2 linked regions of the Lytechinus pictus genome follow. Each later gene encodes a partner of the first gene's protein in a complex. Links are inferred from orthologs where the notes say so. Each region holds a gene or a part of one and is shown in the gene's direction. Other genes may lie near its edges. The genes, in order: mediator of RNA polymerase II transcription subunit 23-like and mediator of RNA polymerase II transcription subunit 20-like.

What was found.
Region 2: mediator of RNA polymerase II transcription subunit 23-like (region 1) and mediator of RNA polymerase II transcription subunit 20-like share a complex: the UniProt entries of both Drosophila melanogaster proteins name them as parts of the mediator complex. The link is inferred for Lytechinus pictus from reciprocal best matches to the Drosophila melanogaster genes MED23 and MED20.

The regions. Positions count from the first base shown.
Region 1 is NC_087261.1:120,968-128,963, forward strand, and holds the start of mediator of RNA polymerase II transcription subunit 23-like, read left to right. Parts: upstream 1-4,784; 5' UTR 4,785-4,879; intron 4,880-7,996. UniProt on the Drosophila melanogaster protein: Component of the Mediator complex, a coactivator involved in the regulated transcription of nearly all RNA polymerase II-dependent genes.
Region 2 is NC_087247.1:67,256,226-67,264,218, reverse strand, and holds the start of mediator of RNA polymerase II transcription subunit 20-like, read left to right. Parts: upstream 1-4,832; 5' UTR 4,833-4,854; coding exon 4,855-4,991; exon of another isoform or gene 4,992-5,401; coding exon of another isoform or gene 5,402-5,532; intron 5,533-7,993. UniProt on the Drosophila melanogaster protein: Component of the Mediator complex, a coactivator involved in the regulated transcription of nearly all RNA polymerase II-dependent genes.

The DNA.
Region 1 (7,996 bases):
TGGTTCAAATGGATTTATTTTATGCTATTAATGATCGCAAAAGAGTCCCCGACAAAGTTCATCGGAAAAAACAAAGGTTCGAAAAAACAAAGAAATACAAGTTTAAAAAATAAAAAATACATAAAAAATTATATTTTTTGCAAGTTTTTGTGGATATTTGTTATAAAGGTAAAGATTGATACTCTCACCAAAAATTAGCATTCTACTAGCTTAATGAATTGATTTAAAGGCAAAAACATACAAAATTTTAATAGGGCAAATTTCATATGCTTATTTGCATAATTAATTAATAAATAATATAAACAGTTAATTTTTGTCAAGTAACTTTGATGCAGAAGTACAAGAAATTGCTGATAGTACACTTAATTGCATGTAAAATCAAACGCACACAAATAAGCGGAAATCTACTACACAGTTGGCTGGCATGAGTGGCTGTATAATAGAAAACATAAAGTTCAACAAATCCACTTTTAATATTTTGAACTTGAAAAAAATAAAGCAAATATGCTGAAACCATGTAATATTACGGTTGTAAGTAGTTTAAGTATAATTCTTAATTGACCATGCAGTGTTCCAACTTACCCCATACCATGTTCCAACTTACCCCGATGTAGGGTAAGTTGGAACGCTTGCGATAGTCTTTTTCAAGGTGGATTTTTTTTCAGTAACCATCATAGATTTAAAAATTTTATGGGGTACATTTGAAGCCCTTAGATATATGCTTCAAGCTGATATATTGATTGTTTCTCAAATAAAGTCTAGGCCTATTTGGATTTTACAGCCATTTTTGTCCAAAATGTTCCAACTAACCCCGGTCTCCCCTACTTTCCATAATCTTTTCTTTAATGAACTTATCTTCATTTGTAATGATTGCGATGGATTCGTAAGCTATAGGCCTAATCTGTGTCTTAAATTCAATTAGCTATTTTGTTACTGCAGATTTTTTGTTTTGTTTCACTGTTTCACATCCCAAGTTAGCCCAAATCCGACAATTAATTTTCATTGATTAAAATTAATCTCAGCAAAAAAATAATAATTATAATGGAAATGAAATAAAAATGAATAAATGATTTACCATTAACATTTTAGTTTTGTATCGTGTTTTTTTTTGCTGAACGCTATAAACACGTTTTTTACCTTATATAGGCCCTAATTTCTTTTAAAGAAATTTATTTTCATGTTGTTTAATAGATAAAGAGACAGCATGAGGGGTCAGAGAGATAGTGCCGCCCATTTCGATATTTCAAAAAAAAAATTAATGGAAATGGTGTGGGGATAGGACAGGGGAGAATAAAAGAAAACATATTCAAAAAAAATATTTGGGCCTACATTACCCCCGGACATAATACCCCGAAGAAGTTAAAATGACATCCGTTTTCGGTCGTCTTGCCATGCAAAAAGACGACCTGAAATTGATGACAACTAGCCCCCAATAAAAAATAACTTGGCACCATCCCAGATAAAATGAATCAATGAACCTTCTTGAACCTTCTGAAGTTTGCACCGGCAGGGCAGTAGACTGCAAATGGCCAGCGTGCTGCTCACGTGTGGGTTAGAGTGTTGCTCTAAAAAAACAAACCAAAAAATGTTTAAAGGTGATGTCAGTGTGGCTTGCCGTAAACGCATTTTCTCTCAATGCCGACGGTGGCGGGCGGTGTGCAAAGAAGATCATGCCTACGTAGGACATGTTAGTATACTATTCTACCTGCACTGGAACTGTGTATGTTAGCTGCAGTATACTTACACAAGTTTCATTATTGAAGGGAAAAATCAAACATTTGAAATATCTTGGTACACACATTCCATATTATAGCAACTCATCAGCAACTTTGGATAATGACAAACCTTGGATGACACCACAGATAAAAGCAATCATAATTGAAAGAGAAAAAGCTTTTGAGAAGAATAACAAACCTCTGTGGCGTAGTCTCAGAAATAAAGTAAATAGAATGATAAAAAGTGCAAAAAAACGTTATTATAACACACGTGTATCTCATCTTAAATCAACAAATCCAGCAGACTGGTATAAACAAATCAAGATTATTACAAAAAAGAACAACACATCTAACGTAATTGCTGTACCTGGTGTTGAACCTAATGATAAAGATCGTCAAGAGAAGACTGCTGATACCATTAATAAACATTTAATTAATATAGCATCAGATTTGGCGCCGTTGGATAGAAGTTGCTTACCAGCTTTTTTACCTTCTCCTTGTGTTTGCCCAGAAGTACAACCTTATCAGGTTTATTCTATGCTAAAGAAAATAAAATGCAGTAAAGCAGGTGTAACAGATGACTTACCCCCTCGTGTAATTCGTGAATTCGCTTGTGAACTAAGCCATCCTCTTGCCAATATCCTTAATACATCATTTCAACAAGGGTTAGTACCTTGGCAGTGGAAGCGAAGTCAGGTTGTTCCCATTCCCAAGTCAAAACCACCGAATATTAAAGAACTTCGACCTATATCTCTTACATGTCAATTCGCTAAAATTGCAGAATCATTCATTACGAAATGGTTATTGGAAGATATTTCTAAATATATTGACATTCATCAATACGGAAACAGACAAGGTCTGTCAACTACCCATTATTTGGTAAAATTATTGCATTGTGTATTGGACAACTGTGAAAAATCTAAATCAATATCCACTATTGTTTGCACAGACTTTTCCAAAGCCTTCGATAGACTTGACCATAATATTCTGATTCGAAAATTAATTGAATTTAACGTAAGACCTTGCATAATTGAGTGGATAGTTAGTTTTTTAGAAAATCGTTTTCAATCTGTTAAATATCAGGGTGTATTGTCGTCGTATATTAAAAATCATGCTGGAGTGCCTCAAGGCACAAAATTAGGCCCGATATTATTTTTGATCATGTTTAATGATGCATGTCAGAATGAATCTTTACCGCACTTTAAATATGTTGACGATCTTACTATAGTTGAAAATCGTTCAATACAAACTCCTTCTGTATTACAATGTCATCTCAATGCACTCGTTACCTGGTCATCTGATAATCATATGAAACTAAATCCGAATAAATGCAATGTAATCAGAGTTACTTTTTCTAAAAATCCACCATTACCTAATCTATTGCATATTGGTGACACTTCTCTGCAATATTCAGAAACTGTTAAAATACTTGGTGTCTATATTCAGTCAAACTTAAAATGGGATAAACAAATTTCAGATATTATAAAAAGGTGTAACAAAAAATTGTATATGTTCAGACTTGTCAAACAATATAAACTCCCTATGTCAGACCTTGTTCAAATTTACATTGGATATATTCGTCCAATATTGGAGTATTGTGTACCGGTATTCAACGGAGCACTAACTGCTAAACAGGTAAAAGACTTAGAAAAAATACAAAAAAAGAGTTTGCAAAATAATTCTTGGCTCAGATTATATAGACTATGAAGATGCACTAACAAAATGTGGATTAGAATGTCTTGAAAGAAGACGAAAAAAACTGTGTATGGAATTTGCTAAATCTCTTTTAAAAAACCCTCACTGTAACAACTGGCTACCAAAAAGAAAAAATATCTCAATCTCATTAAGAAGTGTTCCAAACTTTGCTCAGATAAAATGCAAAACAGATCGTTTTAGAAAAAGTGCAATACCTTATTTCATTGATTTACTAAATTCTAAATAAATTTCTACTTTCATACCCTTGAAGTCAACTTAAATCTTTGCCATTGTTTTAGTCTCCATTTCAATCCAATTGATATTTGAATTTTTAATTGTCTAATATTCATCACTTTTAATATTGTATTTACATAGTTTCTTTACCATTCTATTTTATTATATTTAATGAATTTTTATGTACACTTGCTCTTTAAAAATTATTTATTATTTATGTACATTACAGTACATGTTTAAATTGTAATTGTTGCTTTTATCCATGACTTGTGAACATTTTATTGTAAACATGCTAACTTCAGCCTTCTGGCTGTGTAACATGTATTGTTTTTATACGAAATAAACCATGATTGAATTGAATTGAATTGAATCTCGCAATATGTGTGAGTGGTCTGGAGGTGTCTTTCCAAGGACCATTCTTTGTATCGCCCAAATCGCCTTTGTGAAACAGTTGAGCGATATCTCGTTCTTACGTAGAATGGTTCTACGAAAGACCCTTTCAATGCAACAGGCCCCTGGTGATATCTAGCGGAATTAGTTTCGGCTAACAATTATTCGCGTTATATGAAGCTATGTTAACAGACAACTCTTGGCATGCTTGGTTTGCGTAGCCGTAGTCTCGTACTTCGTAGACATGTTCACCATGTTCACAGACAGTGCGAGGCCGAGGTTAGAAATAGTAATTATAAATTAGTATACTTACTAACCTCGCAATACGTGTGAGTGAGACACTAAAGTTAGTGAGAGTAGGCCAGCGCCATTATTATAACCTCGTTCGTAGGATGAGTGGCCAGGACCTAACTAACGTTAGATAACTTAGAATAACTTAAGACCAAGAGTTAAAACTTAGATAATTATAACAACATGAAAAAGCATGTGTGGGGCTGTAAAATTGGGCCACTCCACTCCCACCTCATCTGGAATAAAACGGGATATGGATTTTCGAGAGTACAAATAGCCATATGACATGTATGAGTTGGAAAAAAAAATATGATGAATAGGATATTCAAAAGGGGTTATTAAATGGTATAATTTTGTAATTCTCACCTCACCTCTAATTATAATTTAACAAGATCAAACGGCCCGAGCTCGGATCCAACGAAGATGGCGCTATAGTAATTCAATTCTGTGTATGTTTATGAGGCGAAGTTCAACGGTGGCGCTGGCAGTGCAGTGGCGAAAAGCGTCTTTGTTTTCCGACTTTTCCAGCCCAGATTCTTTTTACTTTTGTTCATGTGAGTTCCAACAATTTGTAATTTCTTATTACTGAGGCGTAACATAGATTCACGTACCTTACGGTACCGGTATGTGGTCTGTACTTTTTATCTTTAAATAAAAAATGAAACTTTTTCAAGTTCAACTCCTTTCTTAGTCCCATTCATTCAAAATCGTGCATTGAAAATTCGAGTTGCTTGTTTTGTATGAGTGTCCACCCCCCACCCGGGCCGCGTATTTTTTATTTACACCACTGCTCCGCCAAAATCCACAAAAATACGAAAGGAACGGCTCGCGGGCAAGTCTAATCTGTGCGCTCAAGCAATGCAAAGCTCTCGGATCGTTCTCGCGTGAGATTTGTGTTAAGTTCTCATTTGTATGAAGTTGATTATAGCCACTCCTAGTATGGTAAGACCACCTCTTTTGAAACCGACCACCTTGCGCGCGTTAAAATTATTGCGTATTACAAACGATACGCGCGGGAGAGTAGGCGCAGTGTCCATAGAAACGGTAAGAATCGATTTTACGAGAAAAAAAGAAGCAACAAACAGTAAAGATTTAGTAGAATTAATCAAAATTGTATTGACCAAACCCAAAACCCGCTGAAAAACCAAGAAATCCGATAGGAAACGGCTTTAGAACAAATATCCGTCGTCAATCGTCGAATCATGCGTCGGAGCTCGCAGTGGAAGTAGTGAGGCGATCATTTAGCATGTTGACGTCACTCATAGAACTGATTTGAAAGAGTAAAAATATTTCGCCACCGCGACAAGAATCGGCCGTAAACTTAGTGTACCGCGGGTGGTCGGTTTCAAAAGACGGGTGCAAATGAGCAAATGGAAAATCGTCGCATTCGTTGATCGTCGATATATACGCAAATTGAATCGGAGTCGCCGAGCGAAACATGGGAATCTGATCTGCTCAATTTTCTGCACAAATGAGACGAAAACTGGGTAAAATTGATGAATATTTTCGCAGATATGATGCTTAGAAGATTAGGTGGTCGATAAGGGGTAGTTCCAACCATACCAATGAGGTCCAAACATTAAGATGTATGGACCTCATAGGCGACATTACCCAAATTATGGGTTGGACAATGCTGTTCTGATTTCCAACCCAAGACTTTGGTAAATGTACACCTTAATACAAGTTAGAGTTATCCGATATACCTTTCATTCGGACGGCAAACCTTTATTTAGTTGTAAAAATAGTTGAAATTAAAATCGATTATTGTTAAACTTACATTTCAGGCCCTTTTTGTTGATTTTCGGTGAGCATTCCACACAGCTGCGACGAGTGATCAACTCCGAAGTGATACGCGTACTGGTCAGCTGATCGGTCAGGTGATCGGTTGGATATCTTTTTGTCAGACGTTCATAATTTATGTTAAGCGTATCAATCTTCAGTATCTTGATTTCAAAGCATCAGTATTGCAGAGAAAAGTCATTATTGATTGGAATCAGTGGCGGGGGGGGGGAGGGGGGGGGTGAGCATTTCTGCCCGTTCCCCCTTTTGAGATTTATAGTAAACATTTTGGAATTAAATATGTTATTAATACTAGTTATGGGGTGCCCCCCCCCCCCCCTCATGAGAATCACGTACAGCATTATTTGTAATGGGGATATTTCGTTCATATTCTTTTCTCTTTTTTGCCTTTTTTTTTAATTGCCAAATTCAAAATTTTACTGGGAACAAATTAACAATATGACTTTCTATACATCACTTTTAGGGACAAACTTTTTTTTATGGGGGTGGGGGTTGGGGGCTTGCCAAATATAATCAATGGTGGAAAAAATGACCTTCTTTTTAGTGACAACTTTATAAAAAAATTGTCAAATTTTACGCGAGACAAAATGACCTTCGATCATTGCTATAGTTAAAACCTTTTTTTTTTTTTTTTTCTTATTTTTGTGGGGGGGGGGGGGGGCTTGCCGAATATTACGCGGACAAAATGACTTTCATTTTGAGTGACCATTTTTTTTTAACTTGTCAAACTTTACGCAAGACAATATAATGACCGGTTTTTTTTTTTTAGTAAGAATCTTTTTTGGGAGTTGTCAAATTTTACTTTGGATTTCACCAAAAAAAAACGGGATAAGAGAAAAGGAATGAAGGAAGGAAAAGAAAGAAAGAAAGAAAGAAAGAAAGACAGAAAGAGAAAGGGAAGAGAAATAAAAGGCCATAAAAAAGCAAAAGGAAAGAAAAATGCATGCGAGAATAATTCCGAATGTTATGTCAAAATCTATTGCAAAATTGATATTTGTAATAAAAGTGACAAAGGTTTTGCTCGCTCGCCTCTTCATCTGGTAGGCGCGTAGCTAGGGGCGGTGCCCCCCGAAAAGGTCCCTCCCCCCAAAAAAAAATAAGGAGGGAATAGAGAAAATAAAAAGCGAAATGAGAAAAGGGGGATGTATATAACTTAGTTTATAATTGTTTTTCCTTTTTTTGGGGGGAAGGGGTCAAAACATTAACGTTATGTTTTTCTATAAATAGGTCTAATTGCTAAATATCCAGAGTTATCGAGACCCACCTGCTGATATTGCACTGGGGGTACACGATGGAAGGGTTAGGCCTAGGGGCCCCCGAAAGTTCTACAACCAAGATAAAAAAGAAATTAAGGGAATTAATGAAAAGAAAAGGAAAAGTGTAAGTTAAGATATCTATCTCAAATTTAGATTTGCACGAAAAGTTTTTTTCTCGCTTGCTTCACTCGCTTGGAACATATAAAGCAACTTTATTCCCACGCGCCATGTATGCCTACATTGGCCCTCTTTCTTTCTTTTATTTTTTATTTTTTTTACTCATCACGCTACCGTACTGCCACACACGGGTTTGCCCTAATGATCGTGGACAATCATAAAAAATATTATTTTCATACCATGTGACTGGGAAATTTTTGGCTCCACCCCCCCCCCCTCTCGATCCCTGTATCGATTTTGACTTGATAGGGGCCTATACCTGATGGAATTAGCTTCATTCAATATAAAATCATAACGGATAGAACGCCTTGAATACAGGCCAAACAGCCTAACGACATTGCCGTGTCACGTGATAACCAGTATTAAACGAGAATGTGCACAACCCTATGGCGACAAAATTTGCCGCAAAAGTTGAGCAAGTTCTGGACAAAAAGGCTT
Region 2 (7,993 bases), on another chromosome or scaffold:
ATGAAGACTACACCTGACAGGATCAAATTCATCACTTGAGAGATTAAAAGGGCCATAATTCTTCCGTCAATAAAAACATAGTTCCAAAGTAGTGATATATCTTTCCAATTTGGGAAAAGGAAGTTCAGTAGGTACCCTCCCTAGAATCAGTGTTAGATTGTCAATCATATTCATTCATTTTTGTCAATCAGCAATATAAAATTAAAAAATTGAGCAATGGGTTGGCTCGAATGAATATCTTTGGCCTGGCAGTTGTAATTAGGCCCGTGTGACCCCTGGGGAAGGGAGCTACATAAAAATATGGAACGCTTCACAATTTTGCGTGTCATCCTTGCACAAGGGCCATTCTAATCTTCCTTGCTTTTTATTATTTCATACTTAACAATGTATAAAAAATCGAGTGAGACTTCAAAGATCCTGAAATTTCATGAAATAAAAGACTTTACACAGTCAAGTTCATGTTGATGAAATTCGTTTTCTTTCTACTTTTCATCGATTTGTACTCTTGGTAATCTTCGTGAAAATTGTTACGTTATTGGGATTGTTATCATTATTGTTTACTATGATTATAGTGATATTGATAATGAAATTATAACGTGCACTATCACAATCCTCTCCCTCTTTTCTTCAATATCATACCATAATTATCATCACCGCCTCTCATATTGCAAATGACTGCAGGAACTCAAGTTGCATAGCGCTATCTCTCGTTGATAACGTTATAAAAATCTTATTTCTAAATAATGACTTGTTTGAAATAAGATGAACATCTCTAAAATGAATAGCTAATCCATATCTAATCACTTCTGATCTATCGATTTTAGCACACTTGTTAAATTTTATTTGTTTATTTATTTATTTTATTTATTTTGTTTTATTTATTTTATACTGCAGGGTAGGCCTGTTCAGTTCTTAAAACTGCTTTACAAAGGCGCCCTGCAGTTTAAAATACATGTCAAGATAACTATGAACAACAACAACAAACAACATCAAAAATACAAAATACAAAATATCTAACATCAGAAACAATTAACACCAAAATATAGAGTGGGAAGTGACAATTTAAACATACATAGCATTGTAAATCAAAGGAATATCATTTCGCTCTTTATCAATTCGTATGAAAGGCTTTGCATAATTTTTTTAAAAACTAACAAGGAGGTACAAACTTGTAAATTTGAAGGAAGTGCATTAAATAATTTGGGTCCGACATATGCGAAAGATTTTCTTTTATGTTCAATTCTAGCTTTGGGAAGCTGAAGGGGGCATCGTAAAGAATACCGTGTCCTGTATTTCACGGGCCGTTTACATACTAAAGGTTTTAAATAATTTGGAACTAAATCATTCATTATTTTATATACAAGAACACAATACTGATATTTTATACGCTGATCTACTGATTGCCACTTCAGTGACTGCAACAAAGAAATTTGTGATGTATTATAATCTTTTTTCAAAAGCATTCTGGCATATTTATTTTGAAGTTTTTGTATCTTATCTAAATGTATTTTTGCACTGCTTCCCCAAGATGTAATACAGTAATCAATGTAAGGTAAAACCATAGAAAAGTACAGCTTCTTCATAATATCAAAGGACAGTAAGTGCTTAATCCGCCTTCCACAACCTATATTGCCCGAGATATTTTACAAACGATATTAGTAATATGTTCGCACCAAGTCAAGCCCGGATCGAGCATGACACCTAAGTATTTAATCTTTTTTACATTTTCTAATTGTATGTTTCTGAATTTCACTGACAAATGAGCACCCCTCAACTTTTTCTTTTGACCAAATACCATGGCTTTTGTTTTTTGCGGGTGTAAATGCATATTATTTAAGTCTAGCCAAGTCTAATCCAAAGATGATATAGCGCCATCTGTATAAACATTAAGCAGTAGATAATATTTGTTTCCTTTCATTTAAATCTATCACAAAGGGAATATGGTTTACTAAATTTCACCTTATTTGTTTCATTTTCGCAAGTTAACATTTCATTTCGTTTATTTCCATTTTCAACAATTACAGTTTATTTTGTACATTTTGACATACAAATAACGAAACATATTTCAAGTATCCCAGTACAAAAATTATATTCAATTTCATTACATATCAAGTTGGAAATGGAGGAGGCTGCTAAAAAGCGGAGCTCGTAGAGTGCAGCCTCCTAATAAATATTTTTCTAGTTACATAGCATCATCAAAATAACAACTTGAGCATTAACCAGTTAAATTAAAAAGAAATAGGGGGAAATTAAAATAGAAAAGGAAATAAGAAAAAGAGATATTAAAGGTCTCCAGAATCCAGCATCAACAGGAAAACGAAAGAGATGGAAAAGTGTACGTCACACGATAATCATGTTTGATTAAAAAAATACAAGAGTTTGAGTGATGAAGAGTTAATTCAATGGTTATCTTGGATAATTTTTTAGAACTTATATTTGAAAGAATTTAGGCTTGGTGATTCTTTGATGTTATTATTAATAGTTCCCCAGAGTCTAGGGCCTTCAAAAGTAAAAATTGATTTTGCAAGGATGGTCCGGGGTAGTGGTAAATGGAATTCATCTGATTGACGTGTGGGATATTTGTGAAGAGTTTTGCTAAATGAAGAATTAGATATGGGTGGTAACATATTATTGTTTAACTGATACATGAATTAGTGAATTGTCGGATGATCTAATACTATACATGGTCTACTTATCAGTTCGTCCAACTTCACATAGTCTAAACTCATTTCGTCTACAACCAGTTCGTCTAATTCCCACTTGGTCTAATATCCAATTCGTCTAATTTCCATTTGGGCTAATAACCAGTTGGGCTAATTTCCACTTGGTCTAATATCCAATTCGTCTAATTCCCACTTGGTCTAATATCCAATTCGTCTAATGAGCAGTTGGGCTAAAACCATTTAGTCTAATTTCCAGTTGGTCTAGCACCACTTGGTCTAATTTCCACTTCGGCTAATTTACACTTGGTCTAATTATCATTTTGTCTAATTGCCACATGGTCTAATGACCGTTTGGTCTAATTTCCACTTGGTGTAATTTCCATTTAGTCTAATTTCCACTTGGTCTAATATCCAATTCGTCTAATTCCCACTTAATCTAATAGCCAAATGGTCTAATGACCACTTGGTCTAATCGCCAATTGGTCTAATGACCAGTTGGGCTAATCGTCACTTGGTCTAATTTTCATTTGGTCTAATTCACACTTGGTCTATAATGTCCATTTATTATAATATAGCATCATTCATTATTATTCATTCTATCTAGAATTAGCAAATATGGTACGTAATGGATAAATACCATCCATCAGTTAATACATATCGCCAGGATCCGGAGGGGTAGAGCCGGGGTAGGGCTGGTGGGTGCAAAACCTCACCGTGAAGGACTATCAATGATGAGATAGTCGCTCATCAAAGGAATTATTCTAATCAAATAATTCTTATAATTAGGCCTGTATATCGATTATAAGATGATGAAAATTAAATCATACTCATAATCATTACATCACCGCATGCACATTTACAGAACAATAAGTTGGGGACCTTGTAGCTTATAATGGTCGAATGGCGGGGTTTCATCAGAATAAAATTATTATGAAGAAAGGAACGAAAATATAATGTAATTGATTGTGTGGATACGTATCTGGTAAACATGTTTATGCCTCTTTTAAATCATTGTGATGCACCATTACGGACGATACTTGAACTTGATGGCCTATAGTTATGCAGTTTGGGGGATTCCAAAACTACAAAGCCATTAGATCATGTAATTTTGTATCATGTAAATCTTTAATCTCTTTACAATAGGCCTACATGTACCGGTATATTAATAGTCATCTAAGACGAAGGAGAAGTTGTACACTATGCTGGTTAAGCCTCATCTTAACTACTGTATATGCGTCTTCAGTTTGGGATCCTTACACAACTACAAACATAACAAATCTCGAAAGGGTCCAGAATGCAGCAGCTAGGTTCACCACCAACACTTATGGGCAAGACTCAAGTGTTACTGCTCTGAAGGACTCCTTGGGTTGGATCCCCCTCCAAGAGGAAAGACAGGGTTCCCGAATCACCAGTTCATTCAAGATGATCCATGGTTTAATGGACGTCAACTGCAAGGAATACATCTCTCTGAAGGAAAATCGAGCAAGACGGGGTCATGATCAACAATTCTACATCAAACATGTCAGAACAGATACACATGCAAACTAATTTTTTTCCGAGGACTGTCAAAGACTGGAACCATCTCCCCTCCTCAGTTATATCCCAACCATCCTTAGGAACCTTTAAGCCAGCACTCCAAAAAACCTTGAAAACCGGAACCTTAAGTTGGTGACCGTACACGACACACCTCCAGTTTAAACACCTTTATGGCGTCTTTTGGAGGATTCCTACCAAGTACCAAGTATATGATCTATGTATGCAATACCAGTACTTAGCGTCTTATTAGCAGGTTACCCTTCTCAGTTTGTGTGTACATGTGTGTGTTTTTAGGGAGGGGCAGTACGGGCCTGGGAACCACAAAAAAAAGAAAAAGGTTTCACTACAAAACCCTAAAAAATAACCCAAATAAGGTCTCGTTATGGTCCCAAGAAATTTGACAAGCAAAAAAAAAAAGAAAAAGAAAAAGAAAAAAAAAGGGGGGGGGGGTCACTAAAAATAGGTCCTTTAGGTTGAATTCACAAATTTTCCACATTTACTAGAATTCCAGGGGGTGCTGCATTTAGGAATTAGATAGTTTTCGCATTTATAACGGGGAAACTCTCTACAACGCATAGATTCCTTTGAAAATGCAATTAAAATCACAATGGAGAGCTTCTATATAGGCATTTGTGGAAAGTTGGTGGACTGGGACATGACAGCAGATATGCCGATCATCCGAAGATTTGCGCACCGGACCAACAATTGCAAATTTGTCGTTGATAAGATATTTCGGCGCGCTTCCAAAATACAAAAGGAGAAAAGCTGTTTTGTCATAATGGGAGTAACGTGGTATGTTTTTTGTTGTTGCAATCTTAATAGTTCAAATGAGCCATTGATATTGGGCATGCCTGATATTGCTTTCAACTATCATTTTCACTTTATGAAAGAATTGTGATTAGACCTATCACCTGTAGATGCCCAAGCGGCAAGGACAGGTAGGCCTAGTCGATCGTACGACGTATATTTTGGGTCAGTGTCGCTAAACTAACTTACATGTGCCCATATACTGAATTTCGTGATGTGTGACTGTTAGTGTTGGCGTTGACAGAGCTGAGACTGTCATAGACAGCTGGCAGCCGTCTGTTTCGAGGAGTTTTTTAACTTTTTTTTGTTTGGTGAGTGAAGCCAACGGAGTTCAGCTGAACAACCAACATAACAGAGACCGAAGCTTTAAAGTTTTGGTCTAAGACTGTCACTGCATGTGTCATAGAAGCCATAGAAGTCGTGTGTTGTGGACACCAGAAGTGAGATCCTCGCACTCGCGACCCACTAGTCAGAAATCCACTGCCAAACGCGGTTCATGGTGCGAGGTACTAACCTCGCAATATGTGTGAGTGTCACTGTGTCAGTGTCGCTTTACTTGCTGCATGGTTTTCTTGTGACATCTTCATTAAATTTTAGTGATAGTTATCGTACATCAAGATTTCTTTAATTTTTCAGAGCAATTATGGCCTTATCCTGAAATAAGTCGCCTCTATTCTCGTATGTGTGCGCAGGTTGTGTACAATTTCTACGAAGGTCGAAGTAAAACTCAAGACAAAGTCAAGACAATTGGAGATGAAACTTAAAAGAAGTCACCGCCATTGACGAAATGAACGGCAGTGAATGGAGTGGACTGGTGACTTAAACCAGGATAATGCCGCAATTATCTTATTCATTGGCCAATAATAAGCTTTATCGTGAAAATTTTCAGGCTCTCTTCTCGACCTCGTGTGTCGGTGTGTGTGCACTCGTTGTGCACAAAGACAATGGGAGTGGAATGAAGTCGCCAGCGCTGACGAAATAAATGGCAGTGAATCATGGACTGGTGACTTAAACCAGGATAATGTCATGGAAGTCTATAATATTTTGATTACATCTAGACCTCATTGTTTCAAAATTTGATGTCAAAACTGGTGATTTAATTCTATTCCAAACTGGCTTCAAGACTCTTGACTTTTAATCAACTCATTCATCATGTTCATTGTTTAATATAAATCCTTTGGCTTTGTCACTTTTATCTCCATGTAAGCACGACTTTAATCTAAGCCCATAATTCATTTCAATTTAGAATTTTCTCTTCAATAGAATAATTTATTAATTATTGTACCAAGTAAAATAATGTGCTATCTTCTTGACCATTTTTCTTGGCTTTTTTTTAGAAAACAATGACAATGTTTTTGCCTCTTTCCATCACTTTAAAAAGAAAAAGAAATGCCCTTTAGAATAAATTTTGTGTAATTTTCAAAGACAGTGTATGACATTTTTTCTTCCTCTACATGTGCTAGTTTGGTAATGAATCAATCGATCAATGACTAATATCATAGTGGTGTTGTGGCTCAGTGAATAAGCCTCCGGACTTGGACCCACAAGGTCTGGGGTTCGAATCCCACGGCAGGACTCTCGTCCTTTGGCAAGGCGTTACGTACATTTGCATCTTTCCAACCAGGTGTATAGCAGTGTATCCTATTGCCAGACACCTTTATTTCAGTGCTTTAAACATGACAACTAGAGGAAATACAATCAGGAAAAATTTGCACTTGCTTTTCCAAATATGGAAATTATGAATATGTTAAAATTATTTTATATTTACCAACCGTTTTCTTTGCATCGCACTTACCGCATACCCCTCCACGAAAAACAATTTTTGTGCGTTACAAATTACATCATATTCCGGAAACGCGCTGATGGGTAAAGATATTCTTGATTATAATGATGTAAGAAAGAATTGGTGTGAATTTTTCTTCATATATCATATCATTAGTAAATTCTTATTTGTTCGCTTTTTTATATTGAATCTCAGCAGATGTTAGTAAACAATACGTGTTTGCTAACTAATTTTATTTTGTTGTCTTTTTAACTGCATGTTCCATGCCCCCATGGCACTTTCCAATGTTATGCTCGTTCTTATCGTGACGCTCATCAAGTTCTATTGATGCGCTGATGATTGTCGACGGCTCTTATCATGGTAAACCTCGCTCACGGGTACCTTGAGAACTAGCCGTCGACGATCACCCACAATGTATACATGCCACACCTCAACATTCGATCGAAGGAGCGGACGTGATTGAAATTCGGCAATTCAGGCCCATATTACCATCAGAAAATCTATCAATTGTTAATGCAAAACTATGTCATATGATATTTTAAGCATTTTCTCTCATTTTAGAGTTAAATACCGGTAAGGTAAAAGCTGGATATATTCGCCTTGTTTTTGCAATCTTGTTCTATGTATTCTGTGAAATTGAACTGCGGAAGTCCTAGGTACAAAGTTGTTTTCATATGCACTAATATGCACGTCCAGAATCATGAAAGTGTCCAGTAATACGATACATGACTATAGTACGTGGGTAGGTAGTAGAAAGAAATTCCTTGAATGCTTGAGCGCTTGATACGAGTAGCCGTGCTAATTCGGGTAATAGTATAACAAACTTAGAAACATTGTATTATTAAGTGCTAGAAATGTTGCATAGATTATTATTATTGTGAATTTTAAGAAAGTTTGTACAGTAGTAGACTATTTACAGAATCCTGAGGTCATTGTGGTTTCCTAAAAGGACAAGTCCACCCCAACAAAAAGTTGATTTGAATAAAAAGAGACAAATCTAACAAGTATAACACTGAAAATGTCATCAAAATCGGATGTAAAATTAGAAAGTTATGACATTTTGAACTTCCTCATTTGCATACTGACCAGGATGATATGTGCATACAACTGTTTTGTGAAATTAAGCAAAACTTAAATGTCATAACTTTCTTATTTTACATCCGATTTTGATGAAATTTTCAGTGTTATGATTATTGGATTTTTC